Linked DNA regions of Arabidopsis thaliana. The protein of the gene in region 1 interacts with the protein of each later gene in a biochemical or structural test. Each region holds a gene or a part of one and is shown on either strand. Other genes may lie near its edges. The genes, in order: HAM1, WOX4 and WOX5.

The links.
Region 2: the proteins of HAM1 (region 1) and WOX4 form a complex in vitro, tested with the Arabidopsis thaliana proteins (one study listed by BioGRID).
Region 3: the proteins of HAM1 (region 1) and WOX5 form a complex in vitro, tested with the Arabidopsis thaliana proteins (one study listed by BioGRID).

The regions. Positions count from the first base shown.
Region 1 is NC_003071.7:18,617,265-18,622,408, forward strand, and holds HAM1 (GRAS family transcription factor), read right to left. Parts: upstream 3,188-5,144; 5' UTR 2,769-3,187; coding exon 846-2,768; 3' UTR 598-845; downstream 1-597. UniProt on the Arabidopsis thaliana protein: Probable transcription factor involved in plant development.
Region 2 is NC_003070.9:17,235,897-17,239,773, reverse strand, and holds WOX4 (WUSCHEL related homeobox 4), read left to right. Parts: upstream 1-1,588; 5' UTR 1,589-1,820; coding exon 1,821-2,063; intron 2,064-2,282; coding exon 2,283-2,600; coding exon of another isoform or gene 2,601-2,612; exon of another isoform or gene 2,613-2,676; coding exon 2,677-2,871; 3' UTR 2,872-3,250; downstream 3,251-3,877. UniProt on the Arabidopsis thaliana protein: Promotes differentiation and/or maintenance of the vascular procambium, the initial cells of the developing vasculature.
Region 3 is NC_003074.8:3,525,423-3,528,982, reverse strand, and holds WOX5 (WUSCHEL related homeobox 5), read right to left. Parts: upstream 1,704-3,560; 5' UTR 1,378-1,703; coding exon 1,074-1,377; intron 965-1,073; coding exon 720-964; 3' UTR 543-719; downstream 1-542. UniProt on the Arabidopsis thaliana protein: Transcription factor, which may be involved in the specification and maintenance of the stem cells (QC cells) in the root apical meristem (RAM).

The DNA.
Region 1 (5,144 bases):
AAGACCGTCCAATGTAGTTAACATATAAAAAAGTTCTATAATCAAACCTAAGATTATAATATCATGCACCAATGACTTTAGGAGCATGTGATTTCACGAACAAAAGTCGTATTACAATAATGGATATGTATATTTAAAGCTAAAAGCTTAGAAATACATTTAACCCCTACATCTAAAATAAACATTGTACGAAATTAAAGTCCTAACCTTTTTTATGACGGAAAAACAAACTTTTTCATGGCCAAAAAATCCGTTAGGGACCCGAGACGATTAAACAAACATTCAACCTTGGAAGCTCCAAAAACCTAATGATAAATTCAATTAGCTTTCACTTTTTGGTTGTAAATTTTAATACTATATACAACTATTTCATAGAAATGTGTTATTTTGCATGTACCGTGACTATTCATTCACTAGTTCCTAATTACATTCTAATGACTAGATAAAATTGTTTTTTTCTTTCAAAATTGATAAACTAACCTTTCTCAATGTATATGTAATAATGTATGACCTTAACCAGTTAACCCTAACAATGTAACAGGATCTTTACCAGAATTTTCCACAAGTCTATTTTAGTCCTAAGTAGACTCTGAAGATCCTAAAAAACATATCTCTTTAACAATTTCTGTTTTTGGACAAGAGATTTATGCATAAACTCAAAAAGAGCAAAATAAAATCTAACAAAAGGAGATTTTGATTATATATTCTGACTTCCTTAAAATGTTAAAACACAACAGTCTCGAAACTAAGAACATCATTGAACAACATAACAACATTTTAAAATCTGACAAAGAAAAACAGAGAAATTAGCTAAGCGAGAGAGAGATTTGTGGTTTCTTCTTCGTCTAACATTTCCAAGCAGAGACAGTAACAAGTTCTTTCCTTTGCCAACACATGACAAGTGAAGACTGCCTTTTCTCAACGTGAAACCCTCTCACCGGATTTCTCTGCAACAAACACTCCGCCTGAGCTTCCGCCATCTGACTCAAACTCGCCGGAGAAAACCCACATTGTGTAAACAAGATTCTCCACGGTGGAGATCTTTCAATCCAACGGTGTCGTTTCATCAACAGCTTCTCTATCGATGGTTGAACCCAAAACCTCTCGATACTCGAATCGTCCTGGTTCTGATTAGCATCAAGAGACTCAAGCAGAGAAGTGTGGTATTGAAGCGAATGAATCACTGCGTTTGGAAACGGCGCGTCGTTACGGTCACATCCTCTGTCTGAGCAAACGACGATGTTTGGTGATAGTTGTTTAAGGAATCGGAGGATTAACGGAAGGTAACCGGAGGCGACGGAGTTTACTGGAAGATTCACTGCGATTGCTTCTTTTTCCGATGAACGTAGAGAGAGTGGCCAATAAGCTGGGTTTAGAAGAAGCTCTACGCTTAGTAACTCGATTTCGAAAGGAATCTTGACTTCTCCGGCGAATGTTTTGAGATTTTCCTCTGTGAAACGAAGCTCGAACTCGTCGGAGACTGTAGAAGGTGGAGGAGCAAAGACTGTTAATTTCAGAGACGATGCTCTGTTTCTTCTTCTTCCTCCAACTCCGGAAGCGAGTTCTTGCATTAGAGACGACCATTGTCCTCCATATCCAACGTCGAAATCGATAATGTGGATCCGATCAAACCCTGATTCGTTGCAGGACTCAAGAATCGATTGATTCGCTGTGAAGTTAACGAATTGGAGAAACGGCGAGGTTTCGGAGAAGGATCTGTAAGCGGCGATTCGGAGAATCAGATTCTCCGGCGTGATTAACGGTGGTGATGATTCGTTGTGGATGAGTGAGAGGAGAGCTTCAGCGATGTGAGAAGCTGCTCTTTGAAACGGAGACTTGTGGTTACTACTAGTGTTGAGATGGTGATTGAGCCGCGCCAATATCCCTTGCGCGAGAACGGTGTGGTCGCCGTTGTTGTTTCCGGTGGTTCCGATTAGCTCCGCCGCGTTGAACAGCTGCTCGATGATGACTGACTGGTCATCGCCGGCCATTCCCGGCGACGGAACCGGAACCATAGCCACCGCCGTGGAAGAAGAAGACGACGGGAATTGTTGTTGCTGGTTGTTGTGATAAAACGGAAACTGAAACTGATGTTGACGACGAACCGGGTCGTGACCCGGATCCGGATCCGATAAAGGGAAAACGGGTTGATGAAGAGATCCGGAATTAAACCGTTTAGCCGGTGGAGATAACGGAGGATTATAGAACAGGCAATGATTTGAAGGATTGATCAAAGCTTCTGCTGGATTCGTAATCTCTTGAAACGGGAAGTTACACAGAAGATTCGAATTATCACTCACCGGAGCAGACACAGGCCCGGAACCAGACCCGAATCCGAAACCCGGGTCGAAAACACCGAAGGCAGAACCCGGGTCCATGATAAGTCTCAAGATACTCTGCTCTTGACCAGGAGAAGAAGCAGAGAGAACACCGTCAAGATCATCCAAACCCATCTGACTACATTTATTGTTATTGTTATCATCACCGGCGGTTACGGTGGTGTTGGTGACGGTGGTACCACCGCCGCCGTGAGAGGAAGACAGCGTGGTGGTGGTAGAAGAATAAGAAGCGAGAGGACTAGGACTTCTTAGAGCGTCGAGAACAGACGTCGGCTCCGGTAAAAAACCACCGACAACATAACCAAGATCTTCTTGTTTTGCTTCGGTTTTGTCTTGATTGGACCAGATTTTCTGAGAATCTGAATAGAAAGAAGAAGAAGATAAACCAAACACCCCCTCCCCTTGAAACCTTTCAAAGGATAAGGGCATCGCCTCCTCAACAACACAGAGTAACTGTAAAAACAAAAAACCCAGAAAAAAATAACCCTAGAGAGAGAGAGAGAGAGAGATCTCAAGAACAGAACAGAAAGACAACAAAAGAAGAGAGAGAGAGGTTATGTCTCAGAGTGGTTAATGTACGGAAGAAAGAAACACATGCAAAGCTCAAAACTTGTAATTGGCGCCCCAACTTTCTTTAATTTTTTCTTCTTTCTCTAAAATCACTTTCTTTCTTTTTTCTTTCTCTGTAGCTGTTATATGGATGCGTGCAATATATAAAAAGTGGTCTTCATCAATGCTCTATCTCTCTCTCTCTCTCTAAATCTTTTGGTTTTTGTAATAAGGAATTTTCATTTCTTTTTTTTCTTTCTGGTTTCTCGTCCTCTATGTGTGGCTTATGTCTGTAGATGTACTTATCTACATATGTACCGTGTTCTTGTGCCATCATTGTCGAGTCTCTTCGCAAATCCAGCGCGTGACTCTACTCTCCCCCTACAACTTAATTTGTCTTACTCTTTCAATTTTGGCCGTAAGTTGCTTCTTCTATAGTACTATTATAGAGGTTTGTGTACGAGCTAATTCTATCTACTTGTAAATTTTGAAACAACAAAGTACTACTAGTTGCTTATCATTTTTGTGTACAACGAATTTAGTGGTCTTGCGATGATGTCTATAACTGGATAATCCCTCTATAACAACATTTCCTCAAAAGGAACTAAAACATGTTTTTGCCATTTTTATTTTTATTGGTTGATTTTTCTTTATCTTCGAAAAATCTAAAACAAATTCTTCCAACATACCATTGGAAAATAATACAATAACGGAAGGGAAAATAAAAAAAAAGAATTTCACCTCTCAGTTTAAATAATTTCCCGTTTTCACGTACTTTATTTTCGAATACTTTCTCCAAAATAATGAAAGAAAGGGTCACTGATCTGAAACAGTGTTTTTTGAAAGAAAAAAAAATCTTACATATGCCGAGGAAACAGAGCAAAAAGACGAAACTGACGCAGATGGTTCATTACTAATATTTACTTTAATTCCCAATTTTACCCTTAAGATTCGAGGAAGACACTGCAAAAGAGAGAAGGACAATATAGTAATTAGAGGGGAAACAAGTCTGGCAGGTGGCTTTGGGCCTGGTTTTCGAAACTGAATCTGACGGACCGGTGCTCTATTTGAGTGTCTCTCTGGTGTGGCTTTTTGAAGATTTTTTGAAAACATCGAGACCAAAATCTTTCAACGGCTGAGATGCTTTGTCTCACTTCAAATCCATTGGCTCTAAATTATGTTGGAAGTATTCTTCCTTTTTCTTTAATTAGTCTTAACTACAAAATCTAAGATGGTGGTGGTGTCGATTACTTTAACTCGTGATTTAAAAACTAAACTCTTTTTTGCAAAGAACTTAAAGTTGTTAATCATAACATGTGTTAGTTAAATAACTAACACTATTTTATTCGAATTTATTATTAGGACCTTTTTTTGTTCATGGAATTTATTTTCAAAACTACATTATATTCATATATATATATATATATATATGTATTAAAGTTTTTGAAGAAAATACTAGTATTGTTTTGTGTGAAAGCATCTCGAAACATTTCCACTATTTTGTTAAAAACCTAAACTATAAGTTTATATTATTTGAATCGCACTTTGATATATTAATTTTGGTCAATGAAAATGACATTGCTATGTCAAATTTTTCACTCTGCTATTTGTTTTAAAACAAATGTTCATTTAAATATTAAGTAGTTAATGTACATTTTGTCCATTCTTAATAAACTACTTACATTAGGTATACAATATTAAAACAGTACTAAACACCGGTGTTGGAAACCAAACTTATGTTAAAATTATAAAACAATTTTTTCCTTGTCAACACAAATCAAATTAATCGCACGGTCCCAATATGTTGTTCACAATTTCTAAGAAAATTCGTGGTAATGAAACACCTCGATGACATAACATGGATCACGCTAACATATTTGTTTATTCTATATCTAATTCACTACTACATCTACAACCATAACAAGCACACAACAATAATATAATAGCATTACCAATAAATCAAGTGGTTATGTATGTATTTAACAACAATAAGTGGAGTAAATGAAAATCAAACAAGGAGATGGGCAGCTGGATTTCCAAGACAAGATTGAAATTCTTGGTTGCTTGTGTATGAATGTAAAGTAGACATGCTTATTATGTTATTATTATGTATCAGTATTGCCTTGAGTTAACCATATATTTACGTTCTTAAACCAGAAAGAAAAAAACAGATTATTATTATTATTATTTGAGCATTGTCATTATGAGAGACATGGTTTATTTCCCAAGACAAATCACAAACCTCCATGTGAGTTT
Region 2 (3,877 bases), on another chromosome or scaffold:
ATATTTTTTATTATTTTTAAAATATATTAAAAGGTTAAAATTGTCAGTATACATTATTTTTTAAAAATGTGAAATTTCTATAAAAAAATCCATCTTCATAGGATAAAGATGTTATTAATTTTAGCTATTAGTCATGATCAACCTACACTGGTACTTCTATATTTCCTCCATGATATCAATTTTTATGTTTTAACCAGTGATATGAACTGTGACTTTCCACCTTCATAACTTTGATATCCATATATATTAGTGTAAGTTTCGTACTGTACATATACTTGCATCATAACTGGATTAGCCGAGACTAAATAATTTTGACTATTCTTCACAGTTCATACTCAAGGTCTCTGTTCTTTGTAATTCTAGACTACATATCAAATAAAAAGATGATGATATATTAGTCAAAACTCAAAAGTAATTAGAAGAAAAAACTTTGTAATTCCGGAATATCATACGTTACTACTTTTCATTAGTAAAATACCCAAATTACTTGGGAAATTGAGGTTCTGCAGTTCCCGATGTACAAGAGAATAACAATACAATACACTGATCTAAAGTGAATGGGACGCTTGACATTGCCAAACCAAACCATGCTTTTGTATCAATATCTAATAAACATATAAGCTTAAATTTATAATGATGTATTATTATCAAAATAAACAATGATAATATAACATTAAGATATTTCTAGCCTTTTCTTTTCCGCATAAAAGTCTGTCCTGGCTCATTATAAACTACCACTAATTTAGGCAAAATCCGTATCTTAACAAAAGTAATAAAAGCAATTTCGAGTATTGGGATTGGAAGATACCTTTTCCCCTTATTCATTCTTCTTCTCATTCTTCTTTTCTCTAAATAAAGTAGTTGAGACTTGAGAGCCACCGAAAAGCATTCGACATCCTATCATTAAAGCTAACTTTTTTCAGTGTTTTATTTCTAAAATAATTTCTTAAAATAAAGAAAGGTGAGAGAGAAATTATGTCCCTATACAACTAGTAGAATGAAAGATTGTCAAGCTTTGGTTTGGGATTTTTCTAATAAATCACATGCATTTGTTAGAATTTGATCCCAAAAAAAAAAAATTCAAACCTTTTTCCTGTAAAAGCAAACCTATTGGCTCGTAGGTCAATGTCAATCTCAATGAATAGTAAAGTCTTTTGATATCACGTATCTATAACATATTATTTTTAGCGTGGTTCATGTCCCTCAACATTCTGCCTAAATTATAGGATCTCAAGACATAGTACTATAGACTACAACTACAAGTAGAGGAAAATTTTATAAGAGAGATAAATTATGCGGTATTCACGCATGACATGCGTAAGCATGAAACTAAAATTTGGTTGATACATTACTATGCCGAATTTAAAGTAGTGCTCCATGCAGACATGAACATATCAGATATCACACGTACGCATGTATTACGTGTATGTAGAGACACACGTACGCATATCTATATTCACACAATGAGATTTCACTTTCTCAAACAAAGATCACTGTCTTCAATTAGTTTCAAATTTGTTCTTTACCTATTGCTTTTACATTTCTGAGTGTATATATTTACAATAAGGACAAGGAGATTTTAAATGATAAAAGTCAACCATATCCCATCATTTGGTCTTTGGTTTCCCGACGTCCCACTTTTGTAAAAATCATCTGTTCATTTTCCATTCTTTTTCTTTTTCCTACCCAACTGGATATCACCAATGATATCATTATACACTAACACTATCATTTCACACTTATCTTCCTCTATATATACATAGCTTAAGTCTTGTAACGAGAAAGGCATGCATAGCATTTGCTAGTTTTAACATATAGCAATGAAGGTTCATGAGTTTTCGAATGGGTTTTCTTCATCGTGGGATCAACATGACTCGACATCATCCCTTAGCCTAAGCTGCAAACGCCTCCGTCCTCTCGCCCCTAAGCTCTCCGGCAGCCCTCCCTCCCCTCCTTCTTCTTCCTCCGGCGTCACTTCAGCCACTTTTGACCTTAAAAACTTCATTAGACCCGATCAAACCGGTCCGACAAAATTTGAACACAAACGAGACCCTCCTCATCAAGTCAGTTCCATTATTGTACTTCGTACATTTTACATCGTTTCTTTCGTTTGAAAAAAGAAGAAGAATTCACTCTAGAAGAATTTTGATAATTGCGGCATACCTAATACTTTGACATTTATAAATTATAACGACTGGAGTGGTTCCTTTTATTATTAATTTTATTTATTTATTTTAATGTATGATTCCTAACAAATGTAATGAAATAATGTGTGGGTTCAGTTGGAGACGCACCCGGGAGGGACAAGGTGGAACCCGACTCAAGAACAGATAGGGATACTTGAGATGTTGTACAAAGGTGGAATGCGTACTCCTAATGCTCAACAGATTGAGCATATCACATTGCAACTCGGTAAGTACGGGAAAATCGAAGGGAAAAATGTGTTCTATTGGTTCCAGAACCACAAAGCCCGCGAGAGACAGAAGCAGAAGAGGAACAACCTCATCAGCCTAAGTTGCCAAAGCAGCTTCACGACCACTGGTGTCTTTAATCCGAGTGTAACTATGAAGACAAGAACATCATCGTCACTAGACATTATGGTAGGAATTTAAGGATTTTGTATAGTTTTGTGGTTTTGATCAACTATATTTAAGGATAATTTTTATGATTGTGTAGAGAGAACCAATGGTGGAGAAGGAGGAGTTAGTGGAAGAGAATGAGTACAAGAGGACATGTAGGAGCTGGGGATTTGAGAACTTGGAGATAGAGAACAGGAGAAACAAAAATAGTAGTACTATGGCAACTACTTTTAATAAAATCATTGACAATGTAACCCTCGAGCTTTTTCCTCTCCATCCTGAAGGGAGATGAAGTCATGAAGGTGAGGCAGAAAATTGTGGAATTCTTATGTAGATCTGGTTTAGGTTCAGAGGAATCAATTGGTATCTAGAAATTCAAAATAAAAATAAAAATAGGAATAAGTCTCTAAAACTACAAAATCTACTTAAGAATTCCCTTATTAATCTGCGAGTTTGATGTATCCTATGTAGATTATTTTTGCGATGTAATCTTAATTATGAATGCTCAGTTTAGCTCATCTTTTTTTCGCGTTTATTCTTGACAAATTCACTAGTGATCAGTTGTACTCTCTTCTGATTTGGCCATCTAAGTATTTCTCTAGATCGTTGGTATGTAGGAATGTTTCATTTAGAGAAATTTCTGAATAAAGACACATTTGATGTTGTTAAAATAATATCTCTGTCTTAATTCCTACGTACGTACAAGAGCAAGAAGTTAAAAGGAAATAATAATAGCATTTCCCGTTGAAAAGGGGGTAGACCTAGTATATTTCTATATAAACAAACATTGAAATCTAAAACTTTTTGTACTGTTATATACTTATATTAAAACTCTTAGTAAAACAGGTGACTCAATAATATTTATATTAATTTTTTATTTTTGATAAATATATACTAAATAAGTTTATGAGATGATAACAAGAAGAATCTTTTCAAGAATTTGATATTTCCAATGGAATGTGTACAAAGACATCAATATATGTAAGCTGTGGTGTGTATGTGGTTAGTTGTTTGTCTGATGCTTTATTGACTCTCGCAAGTGGTTGTTTTGTATTTTGGTTGAAACAAAGAGAGAGTTTTGCTTTTTAGGTTAAAAGTTGAAATGGCATTATATGAGACACACTCACTGAAGTCCATGCACTCGCTTTCCCGCTACATTGCATGCTAGCTAGCTGTTTCTATACATACGCAGATATATGTAGCTCTTCTATATTTTCGCACTTAATTATTGTAAGTGACATTCTTCTTTTCATTTTGGTTATATGCCGATAATTTTGTTTTATTTTCTGATAGCTAAC
Region 3 (3,560 bases), on another chromosome or scaffold:
GTTAATCAAATTCGCTTGAGTAATTCTAAATTTCTTTCTCCGGGAATGATCAAAACCTCAACTTTTGATTCCGTTTTATCTCCGACGGAACTTGAGTTTGCTTCTTCTCCAGGAAAACCCCTTTAATTAATCTTCTCTAGGCACTATGGGTTTAACCAAAGTTTGGGCCTTCTCTGTATTATAAAGCCCAATTATATGGGCCTAAAAGACAATGGGTCTGGGTAAAATAATATTAAGGATATTAATCTGTTCGTTTAAAAGAGTTGGTTTTATTCTGATAAGATTGTGCAAGTTTTTTGGTCTAATGGTTGTTGATCAAGACTTAAGTATTTCGAGATGATGTAAATTTTGTAAATTGATAGAGATAAGTTTTAAGTTTGTTTTTTTAACATCTTTTAAGTTTTAAGTTTATCTGATATTTCTAGTATTTCTGTGATGCAAATAGAACTATTCGTTAATGATGTCTTTCTTAAATTATTTTTAAAAAATATAGAAAAATACATTAACAAATCACAACCTTAGTTATATGATGATATACATATACGCATTCCATAACATAGATTCTTATATCAAACAAAATGAGACAACTTTTTGATAAACCATGCATTGGAAAATATCTCATAAACCATGCATCGGATAATATGTCATAATTCAAAATACAACAACATTTTAAAGGCTAAAGCATCTGTTTTTTTTCTTTTGTTATTGTGGTCAATGACTTAAAGAAAGCTTAATCGAAGATCTAATGGCGGTGGATGTTCCATTTCAGCTCCACATGATGAGTATGGAGAAAACGACGTCGTGGTGGTCTCTCGAATATATTCACGGTACTGGTTATTGCCTCTAGCTCTCATTTTGTCCACCTTGGAGTTGGAGTCTTCAAATGAATTCACCGGAAAGAGTTGTAATGTCTCTATCACCTTCTCTTCCTCTTGACAATCTTCTTCGCTTATTTCAAAAACATCTATAATAACACACTATTATCCATTAAATATATAGAAATATCATATAAAACAATAATGATATATAATTATATATATATATATATATATATATATATATAAAGAGACTACCTCTAGTTGATGGTTGATGATGATGATGATCAAAATCAATGGAGATTTTACGACGTTTCTGCCTCTCCCTAGCCTTATGATTCTGAAACCAATAGAAAACATTCTTGCTCTCTATCTTGCCGTAGAAACTGAGCTCCGTAGAGATCTTCTGAATCTGATCAGTTGTTGGAGTTCTAAGACCGGCTCGAAACAGATCAGTCAATATCTTCAACTGCTCCACCGTTGGATTCCATCTCCCGCACTTCGTCCCCGTTCCTCCGTTATTGTTGCCACGTAAGCTTCGACCTTTCACGGAGAAAGACATGTTCAGATGTAAAGTCCTCAACTGTTTTACGTTTTAGGGCCTGTGTATATATCCATATATATAGTAAGATTGTTCATAATAATTTATTAAGTTTTCATCTTTTCGAAAATAAAAAGAGAAATGAATTGATGAAATGTCGGGAGGAGAGGTTTTCGAGTTATGTGTCGTTTTATGATGAGTTGTTTATTACGAAATGCATGCTTTGTTTTTTTTGGGGATTTGGGAGAGACTGATCTTTGCAGATTTGATCGTTTTCTTTATCCTAACCTATCTAGGCTTCTGTTCCATCTATATTTACATATGTTTTTGTGTGTATATATTAGTATATAATTGGATCTCGCATTCATGCCATGGCATGCATAAGTTGTATATCGGAACCAGCGATTGAAACATTGAATTTGTTCTCCTTTAATTTGTGGTGACTCGCACACACTTAAATTGCGTTCTACGTAATTTCTTACTATTCATATAACATGATAAGAATAATCAGAAAGCCTTGGTGGTAATGTACTATCTAGTGTCAATATTTTAACGTTCGATATTGTAACTTCAATGCTTCAACTATTCCAAATTATGACACTAGAAATTTTACATTCACTTTCTTTTTTTTGTATTTGTTTTGAAGTTAGAAGTTCTTTACAAATTGTAGATCTAATCTGTAATCAATAATAAGTTGAAATAGCTAGCAAGTCCTAAACAAAGATTGTATGCAATTACATTATTGAGACGGATGGATGGCCGATATTAGTTTGATATGAATGAAGATGATAAGATTAATTATAAACATCATGACATTGTGTGAACAGATTGTAGTTTTGTCTCTCTTGCACAGAAGATGTGACACTTGAGGAACGTTGGTCGGCAAGTGTAGACAGGAAATTTGAAATTTTATTCTCTTTTATAAGAAAATATAATATTACAAAATCAAATATCTGAATTCTGAATCATAAAAAACTACAAAAAGAAAAGGCATTTAATAGATAGAACCAGAAGGTTCGCCACACACATGTATAATATAAGTCCTACACCAAAATATTTGTAAAAAGCCATTTATTAAGTCACCAAGAACTCCTTCTAGAATGAAGAATGGTTGAAAGATGACTGCAAGATGTAAAAATAATTTTAACCATCAATAAAAGTATAAACTCATAGTGTTTTACTAGCCTCTATATGCTATCACGTCAATTAGATCTGATTTTTGAAATCTGAAAATGAGACAGCAGCAATAGTAACATAAATCATGCATTATACTGTAAATGCTTTGGTCAAAAATTTATTTCTTAGTTAAAATCTAACTGCATTCTAGTATATAACCTGCGACCGAAAAAATATTTCACTTTTAAGCGTACAACTCATACATGCCTCAGTTTTAACAATATACAATCCAGCTCTTATAATTTTGCATAGTCTAGTTGTTTGTACAAGAAACTTATTGATGTCTATATGAACAGTACGTATGACACCAGCAGAAATAGAAAGGAAAAACTTATAATATTCATGTAGTGTGCGTTAAAATGTCTTAATAGTGAGGATTTAGATGAGACATGCACGGGATGCTAAGCAAGACGAAAATGGTCCAAATAATAAAATGACAATGTGAATAAAACCAAACATTGTTTTTATAAACAAAGTACTCTTCACTAGACAACATAACAGTACTTACAAATATCTTTGTCTCTCTCGCATATAAACTGCATCTTGTTTTTAAAATTGATCAATTCGGTGTCAAAGTCAAAGTTCACGTGGCTTATGTTACTTGGAATCATCCCAGTTAATTTACATAACATCTTTGTTTAATTACAAATTTCTTACAGAATATCTCATTACCTACTCTCGAGTCTAACTAAATAAGTAGATTTTTGGATTTAATTCGGTTTAGAGAAACTTTATGACTTAGATTTGTTAGATATATAGAAAAAAGTGGCATGCACCCAGCACCCAATTAGTCATCAATTACTGGTACTGGATGATAAAACAGTTGTGAGTTGTACATTAAAAAGTTAAAGATAGCATGTCGTGGATTTGAGATATCAAAACTCTCGTATTGGATGCCCCCAAACATATCATATACTTTGTTTTTTTGCAATATTCTTTTTTGTTGTTGTGATATATGCTTTTATACAACATTCACTACTTTGCATAGTTTTTTGGGTTGTTTTTTTCTTTCTTTTTACACAAGTCCG